Linked DNA regions of Struthio camelus. The protein of the gene in region 2 purifies or fractionates together with the protein of the main gene of each other region. This does not show direct contact. Links are inferred from orthologs where the notes say so. Each region holds a gene or a part of one and is shown on either strand. Other genes may lie near its edges.

Evidence for each region.
Region 1: the proteins of LITAF (region 2) and NEDD4 purify together in Homo sapiens (co-immunoprecipitation; 4 studies listed by BioGRID and IntAct, counting the BioPlex papers as one, with this or other methods). This does not show direct contact. The link is inferred for Struthio camelus from reciprocal best matches to the Homo sapiens genes LITAF and NEDD4.

The regions. Positions count from the first base shown.
Region 1 is NC_090953.1:16,358,692-16,362,601, reverse strand, and holds the start of NEDD4 (E3 ubiquitin-protein ligase NEDD4), read left to right. Parts: upstream 1-1,232; 5' UTR 1,233-1,286; coding exon of another isoform or gene 1,287-1,331; intron 1,332-3,910. UniProt on the Homo sapiens protein: E3 ubiquitin-protein ligase which accepts ubiquitin from an E2 ubiquitin-conjugating enzyme in the form of a thioester and then directly transfers the ubiquitin to targeted substrates. Specifically ubiquitinates 'Lys-63' in target proteins.
Region 2 is NC_090956.1:12,993,483-12,997,392, forward strand, and holds the start of LITAF (lipopolysaccharide-induced tumor necrosis factor-alpha factor), read left to right. Parts: upstream 1-804; 5' UTR 805-882; intron 883-3,879; 5' UTR 3,880-3,910.

The DNA.
Region 1 (3,910 bases), on a different chromosome or scaffold from region 2:
GCTCAAAGCTGATGAAAGAAATTCATTTTCTGCCAGCACAGGTGCTGCTATGTTTGCCCACCCTTAGCTACATACATGGTTTTCCATGTGTTCTTCCTGAAATGAAGCTCTGCTTTCTAGCTCACAGCCTGCTCAGTACACAGAGAAGCTTAGCTCAGGCTTGTACGAACATTTACAACTACAGAGCTCAGACTAAAGCACCCTGCTTTATTTAGTTTTCCTAGCCCAGCTCTTCCAGTTGTCCTCTGCTGGTGGGGAAGGCCAGTGGGCAGGGAATCCTGTGTGATTCACAGGGCACTGTGAAAGGCAGGATGAATTCAGACCACGTGCAAAAATATCACAGAACTAGACCCTTTAAACGGGAATGTATATAAAGAAAGACTGCTCAGAAACACCACTGAATGGTAATTTGAGGATGACCTCAGACGTTCACCAGAAATGCTAACATGCTCCCTCATCAACACGCTGCTGTTGCTTGTAAGTTTGAGATTTTTTTTTTTTGAGAAAAAGGAAAGTCTTTATGACACTGTTACATTGATTCCAAACTAGGCTTTTGCAAGCTATCCCTTTTCCTCCTCTGGTGTTCTCAGGCTCTCCTGGCTTGGCTGTTACATCAGGTCAGCTCCTTACACAATGTGCAACTTCCTTCCTCCGCTGAGTGCCCTCGCAAGGCAACACCATCTCAGCCCGGCTGGAAAGGCTTTTCTTCATGTCAATGAATCTTACTTTTCCTTCTGCCAGTTTTTACCGAGTTCTGTGATCCCCAAGGCACTCTGGACATGAAGTGGTTAGGCAGGGACCCTCGAGGCTTGAGGAGAAGCCCCTGGCCTTCAGAGGTGCAGGAAAGACACCAACGATCTAAACAGCAGGGTTAGGCAGACCTTTTTAAAAAAAGAAAAGGAAAGAAAAGAAAAATCCCTGATGATTTCTTTCGTTCATCTCTTGTTAGCTCAGACGAGCTGCTCGAGCGGGGCAGGGGAGGCTCGGCCCCGCCTCAGGACCCTCCTCCCGTCGGGGCGGGCAGAGGCCCGTCGCGGCGGGCGGGCGGGCCCTGAGGCGGGGCGGGCCCGCGCGCGCCCCCCCGCCCGGCGCGCGTCTCCGGGTGGGCCGCGGAGCGGGCGCCAATCAGGAGGCGCGCCCGCCTCCCGGGGGGTGGGCGCGGCGCGGGGGGTTCCCGCCAATCAGGGCGGGGGAGGGCGCGCGCGCTGCGGCGAAGCCAGGGGAGGGGGCGGGGCGGGGCGGCGGCGGCGGCGGGGAGGGCGCGGGCTCGGCTCGCCGGCGCGGTCATGGCGGCTTCTCCCGTCGAGGTGTTCGGGCTGCCCGGCGAGGAGGTGAGCCTGGCGGGGCCGCCCCGCTCTCCCCGCGTCCCGTCGCGCCGGAAGGCGGGCGGCGGCTTCCCCGCGGGGTGGGCCCGGCCCGGCCCGGCCCGGCCCGGCGGAGCGGAGCCCGGCAGGTCCCGCCGCCGCCGCCTCGCTCGCGGAGCCGGGGCGGCAGCGCGGCCCTGCGCAGGCTGCCGCAGCGCCGTGCCGCCCCCTCCGCCGGGCGGGCGGGCGCGGTGACCCGGTCGGTACCGCGCCGGGCGGGCGAGGAGCGCTGGCGGATCGAGCCTTTGTTTCCGGCCGCGTCGGAGCCGCTGTCTGAGCGGTTGGGGTGGCGCGGGCGGGGCGGCCGCGGGGGAGGCAGCGGGGCGCGGGCGGCGCGGGCCTCGGCCAGCAGCGCCCGCTCGTTCTGAGCGTTACCTGCGTTGGGGGGGGGGGGGCGGCCTGTCCCCTTCCGCTCCCCCCTTCAGTCGCAGCGCTTTCCCTCAGACAGCTGTGCGGTGACCTGGGCGACATGTCGGTACTGTTGTTTTCGAGCCAGCAGGGCGTTTCACCAAGATTGTCTTCGATCGGCTCTTTCTGTGTCCCTCGGTGATGTTCTCTCTGTCAACGCGCCTTTGTTGCGGGCTTAGCAGGGTTGTTTTGTTCTTTTAACTTTGAAATACTCTTCCTAGTCTGTTAGCCTGACAGAAGGCTAACGTCTTCCTGAAGTCTGTTAGCTGTAATTGGTGTATTACTTCTCCAGAAGTAACCAAAAAGCTCTAATAAGTTAATTTTTCTTCTTAAAAACTTCAGTGGGGTAGGAACTCTCCTAGAAAATTAGCCCAACATGCTGTTAGGGCTGTCCAGCACTTCCATTGGAAGATCCTGTTTTCAGTTGCTTGCAACTTTCTGAGGCTATCCACTTGGACTGAAATATTCCATGCCTCAGGCTCTGTATTTTAATTTATTTTATTAAATTTCAGCCAGCTTAATTGTTGCTTAGCCTGCCTGCTGTGGGGAAGAAATTTTGAAATCGGCTCACAATTGAACAATTCTACTTTTCCTACATCCTTTGGAACATGAAGTCTTTGGAGGGAGGGGGAGGAAAGAAAGTTGTATGTAACGATTCTTTCATATTTAACTATTTCCACAACTTAAAAGCTTAGCCACACTTTCTCAAGTTACAGTTTTTTAAAACACAGTTTGTTTACCATCAGAGACTTTGATATTCAGTTGCTGTATATTGATAAACACTTAAAGAACATGTGCGGTTTTCTTCATAGTTTCAGTGTATGACTATACGTGCACAAATGATAAAATGGATAGTCTTTGGGTTATAGAAAATCTGCTGCCAGCTGCTTTGGACTAGGGTGCTAGAATTAAAACTAGAGTTCCTATCTCCCTGGATTCTCTTCTTTTTTTTCTTCCCAGAGTTTAAATCTGCAAAATTGCCTTCACAGAATTACAGTAAAGACACAGAATTAGAAAACCAAACCATACAGAAAAGAAAGAAGTAGTATCAAGGAGCTGTCTGTAAACTCCTTCTCCACACCAGTACACCTGCACCTTGATCTGCAGCCTTTCCATAGTTTATGTCTGGACCCTGCTTTTCCCGCGGGGCTGCTGTTTGACCCATTCCACGAGAGAGGTTTGCTTGGGATATGGTTTGAAGTTGTCTGCTTACCTCTGGAGGGCTTGGTCTAATTGTTGAGGCAGCTGAATGCAGCATTGGAGACTTCCACCCCCCCTCCCCCCCTTCCAGAATTTATCCCTGATAGCTTGCTTAATGGTGTATTAGTCATTCAGACCCTTAGTACGGGGCTGTTAATATCATGTTGCTGGCACAATGAAAATGTTGGCAAAGAGGCTGGGGTCAGAAGGAAGCTGTAGCTTAGGGCACGGTGTATACAGCTGGATATTGTGTATGCTGTGTTTAGGTATCTGAATTTCAGTGCCAAATTGTAGCAAATGCAATTGGTCTTAATTTTTCCGGTTCAGTTTTTATTCTATAAAATGGATATAATACCATTCTGTCACCAGTAGGACTTTTGTGGCTCACTTGGATGTTGAAAGAGTGAGCACTAGAAAAGCAGCCCATGAGGAGAATTAATAATTTTGTATTCAGAATGGGGTCTTAACAGTATGTGCAAAACAAGGTCTGGGATCACATGCTGAAAGAAGAAGAGAGAAGAAGATACAGAATAGTTGCTTGTTGAATACTACCTGGTTTGTTTCCTTAGTAAACAACAGTTGTTGTCTCTTAGAAAGTGTGACCTATGGTTGTATCAAAGGTTCTGGCAAGATGAAATACGCAGTAGCAGGCTAAAATAAATATGCAGTAGGAACAAAATTATAGTTGCCCAGTGATCACAATTCCTGGTACCGTTCGGCTTTTTTTGACGAAGTTATATCGAAGAACAAGACTGAATACTAATCAAGTGTCTAAAATCTGTTTTTATTGTAAACTATTCTACATTGCAGGAATAGTATATAGAAAAAAGACAAAAGAGATTACTCCTTTCTCAATCCAGGAAAATAAAGAGCTTTTACAAAGATTTTTAAGATTAATTTTTCTCCTCTCATTTACCTTGCCTTGAAAAGGAAAGAAA
Region 2 (3,910 bases):
TATCCACGGCTAGCTCTACTGAAAAGCCTGTCCGGATGAGATGACACCATCGCTCCTGAACTTCAGTCATCAGAGGTAACATGCTATGTATACGTACATCCCATGTCATAGCTTAATTCCCGACATATTAGCAAATTTGCTGAAACGGCAACATTAAATTGTTTTAAACAAACGTTAAATCGAAAGGCGCCACTCTTTTTAACGGCTCTGTCTAATGCCAGCTACACAGCTCCCACACGCTTCTCCCACCGCCGAAGCGGGTTTCATACTCTGCTCCCGAGAGCCTCCCAGACCGCAGGGCCCCGCGCGGGGGGGGGCCGCCCCAGCCCCAGCCCGCACCGTTTCTACGACCTTTTAATCGAGTCAGGACTCTCGCCGGCAGCTCCGGCCCCTCCGAGCCCGCACCTGCGCCCGCCTCGGGGGGGGGGGGGGGGCCGAGGGCGCCGCCCGCGCGGCGCCCGGCCTCCCAGCGACCCCCGGCCGCAGCGCCAGACCCCGCCCGGCGCCCGCGCTCCGCCGGGCAGCGGCCCCGCTCCGGGCCTGCGGGGCGCCGCCGCGCCGCTCCGCCGAGGGGGCGGCGGCCACACGCAGCCCCTCAGACGTCCCCGGGGGGGGGGGGCGGAAAGGAGGCGGCGCGGCAGCGGCGGCAGCGGCGCCCCCCCCCCGCGGGCACCCTCCCCACCCCCCCGGCGCTCACCGTGGCTGAGGGGCTCCGCGCGCCGCGGCGCACGCACCGACGCCACAGCGGGCGCGACGGCTGCCTCGCGCCGCCTTATACGGGGGGCGGGGCGGGGCCGGCAGCGGCTGACGGGGCGCGCGCGCGGGGCGGGGCGTTAGCGGCGGCCGCCCCTCGCCGGGAGCGCTCGCCGGGGCGAAGCTGAGGTAAAAGTTCCCCCCCTCCTCCGGCTGCCGCCTCAGCTCGGCCCCGCCGGCGGCGAGGTGCGGGCGTGAGGCAGCAGCCGCCCGGCGGGGCCCCGACAGCCGGACCCGGGCCCCGGGCTCGCCCGCGGCTGCTGGGCCCGGGCGGCCCCTCAGGCCCGCCGAGGAGCGCCGCCACGGAGCCGCCGGGGCGGGGGGCGCCAGGCCGCGCCGCGTGTGCGAAGGCGGCTGTGCTAGAGCTGTGCCCCGGGAAAAGGCCCTTCCGCGGCTCCTGCCGCAGCAGTGCGCCACGACCGCTGCGCCGCAGACCCCGGGGGCAGCGCTGTGCTTGTTTGTGCTGACAGCATCCGGCTGGGCCTGGGCGCACCGCACGAAGAGCCCAACCCGAGCAGGGCTGGGCTCGTTCCCCCTGAGGTCATCCCTTCCCAAACGTGTTCTGTACGATCTCGTTCCCACCGTCTCCACCATATTTAGTAAATCACCCTATGGGGGCATAGTAACGGCGTAACTGCATCAGGAAGTTGCCCAAAATAGGGTTCCTCCCGGCTTCCGCTGCACTGATCGTTACTGATGTCACAGCAAGATGACCATGGAGCGTTCACTTCTCTGATGTGGTAGGACGGTTGCTGGCAAAACAGCTCTCAGCTTGTTTGACAATCGTTTGAAGTCTTAAGAGCTGCAGCCAAGGAAGCTTGGAGGGAATAGAGCGTGACAGGCGTTCAGAAGTTGCTGTGCACTTTGTGCCTACACAAGCACCCGCTTTACAGTGTTCAGATCCTGGTTTATATCCTGCACGGCTTTCGAGTGAGGAAAAGTAATTGTTCCCTGCACTAACACTCTGTCTGCCATGGGCTTGTGACAGTCATGAATGTGTTGTCCCCTTTCCATTCTCATTCAATGACAAGCTAAATATTACCCAGTACCTAGAAGGATACAGTCGGCACCTGATCTGTACTCACTTTCAAAACTGTCCGCATATGAGACATGTTTTTCCTGGAAGCTGTGCAGCCCTGCTCACACAGTTTGGTGTCTTAGTAGGCCTTCCTAAAATTGCAGTCTAGATGGTGATGCTGGACTGCTCCTGAATCCTAATTAGCCAGTCTGGAGCATTAGCAGAGCGGCTGTCTTGTACAGAGCACCCTAAGCATGCCTCCTTGTAGTTTTGTTTTTTAAAAGAAAGTGCAAGATCAAGTACTACCAGGGGTTTACCTTCACTATTAATAACGAATGGTCTGGCTGGTCTGACAGAGCAACGTTGGCCATGACAGTAACTAATCTTTCTGTCAACAGATGCAGAGGTAGGCTCTGGGGCAGAACTTTCATATGATGTTTAAATCCCATTGAGATACTTGAATCCCTACGGACACGCTTGTTTTACATACGTAACCACAAACGGGCACTCCACTGTGTGATATGAGTGTCCTAACAGCAAGACATTCACGTTAGCGAGAAAGGTCAGGCCCTTTTGTACAAAAAGTGTGAATGCAATTATGACAGAACTGACTGGTAAAAGTCATACAGCAATAGCACAGCTCTAAGCCGTAAGAGAAGCCCAGCAATCTCTTTTAGCATAATTTGAAAACTTTTTGTCCTTGCAAAACTTTTGGTGATTTGTAACCCAAATTTAGTAAATCACACGGAGAACAAAGTAGATTCATTCACATCAGTTTCTTGTCTTTGCTAATGGGCTGCTTGATCTGTGCAGAATTATAGCATGGGAAAGTTTCCAGTCTGCTATGAAGAAAGCACAGGGCAGTTAATCCTTCAGAACTGCTTGAAACCTTCTCCTCTTACTTCGTCACTTCCACCTGTCCCCAATTAATGCTTAAGGCTTATAGCTAGGGCAGGGCCCTAGGTACCCCTGATCCTCACAGCTGGAGAGCACAAAGAACTCCGTTTAGTATTTTACAGGGAACTCGTGAAGCATACTGGCAGACTCGGTTAAAGCAATCAAGTAGCATGCTTTTCAGCTGTGCTAGTAATGAGAAATTGAAAGTTTTCTCCAATTCATTTATTGTTGTGCCTTAGCTATGCACAAGTAATTAAGAACTATGAACATGCAACCTGCTCGTATAGGAAATAGTTTTCTTTTCCTAGCAAACAATATTACATTTTTTTCTATGAGATGAAATATTTTCAACATTCATATTGTGTGCAAACATTCAGCAGTTTTCTGAATTGTATACCATCATTTAAAGCACTCTCCTGCTTTGACACTTTGTTATCACAGCACTCAACAATTTAAACCGTTACATATACTTGTTGACCTCACTGGGAATTATATGCAGAATTCCAATGTCAGCTATAATCATTGTCACAGTCAACCTGATCTTTTTGCTAGAGCTAATCTTATCCCTAGCATAGTTTCTAGAAATGCTGATTTTAACAGTTGCTAATTATAGAGATTCTTTGGTTTCTCTTCAGGAACTATACAACTGTTAGAGAAATTCACTATCAGATTAAGATTTACCTGTATTTTATTTTGCTAGAGATAAACTGTTTCCACTGTTGCAAATTCACATCATGTCCCTCAACTTCAGATAGTTAACATAGATGTTTTAAACCTACCTCTTTCAGAGCTTCCTTCTGTTGGTTACGCTCTCCAAGTATATTCTTGGTATTTCCATTAGCTATGGGATTTTGGATGGCTGCTCTCAGTGCTCGTTCCTTTAATTAGGGACGTGCATTGCGTTACTTCTGAAGTGGTAGCTAGCAAAATAAAATGCTCTTATTTCCTCTGTTCCTACTTGGAAAGACAACAGATGTGCTTTCACTGGATCTATGGTGCCTGTTCAGTTTTCTGTTGCTTTGTAGCTCTCTTTGGTGCAAAATGTCTTTAATAATCATTTTTGCACTCCAGAAAGTTTATCAGGGAGACAGACAATTCCATAGAGCATTTTCTCATGTGTCTTTAAGTCTATAAGGGATTCTTAAAGAGGACAAAATGCAACTATCTCTATTCAAGGAGATGTAAGTGACAACTTACACCTTTATTTACAGGCCCACTGGAGAGCATACTTGTGATTACAGT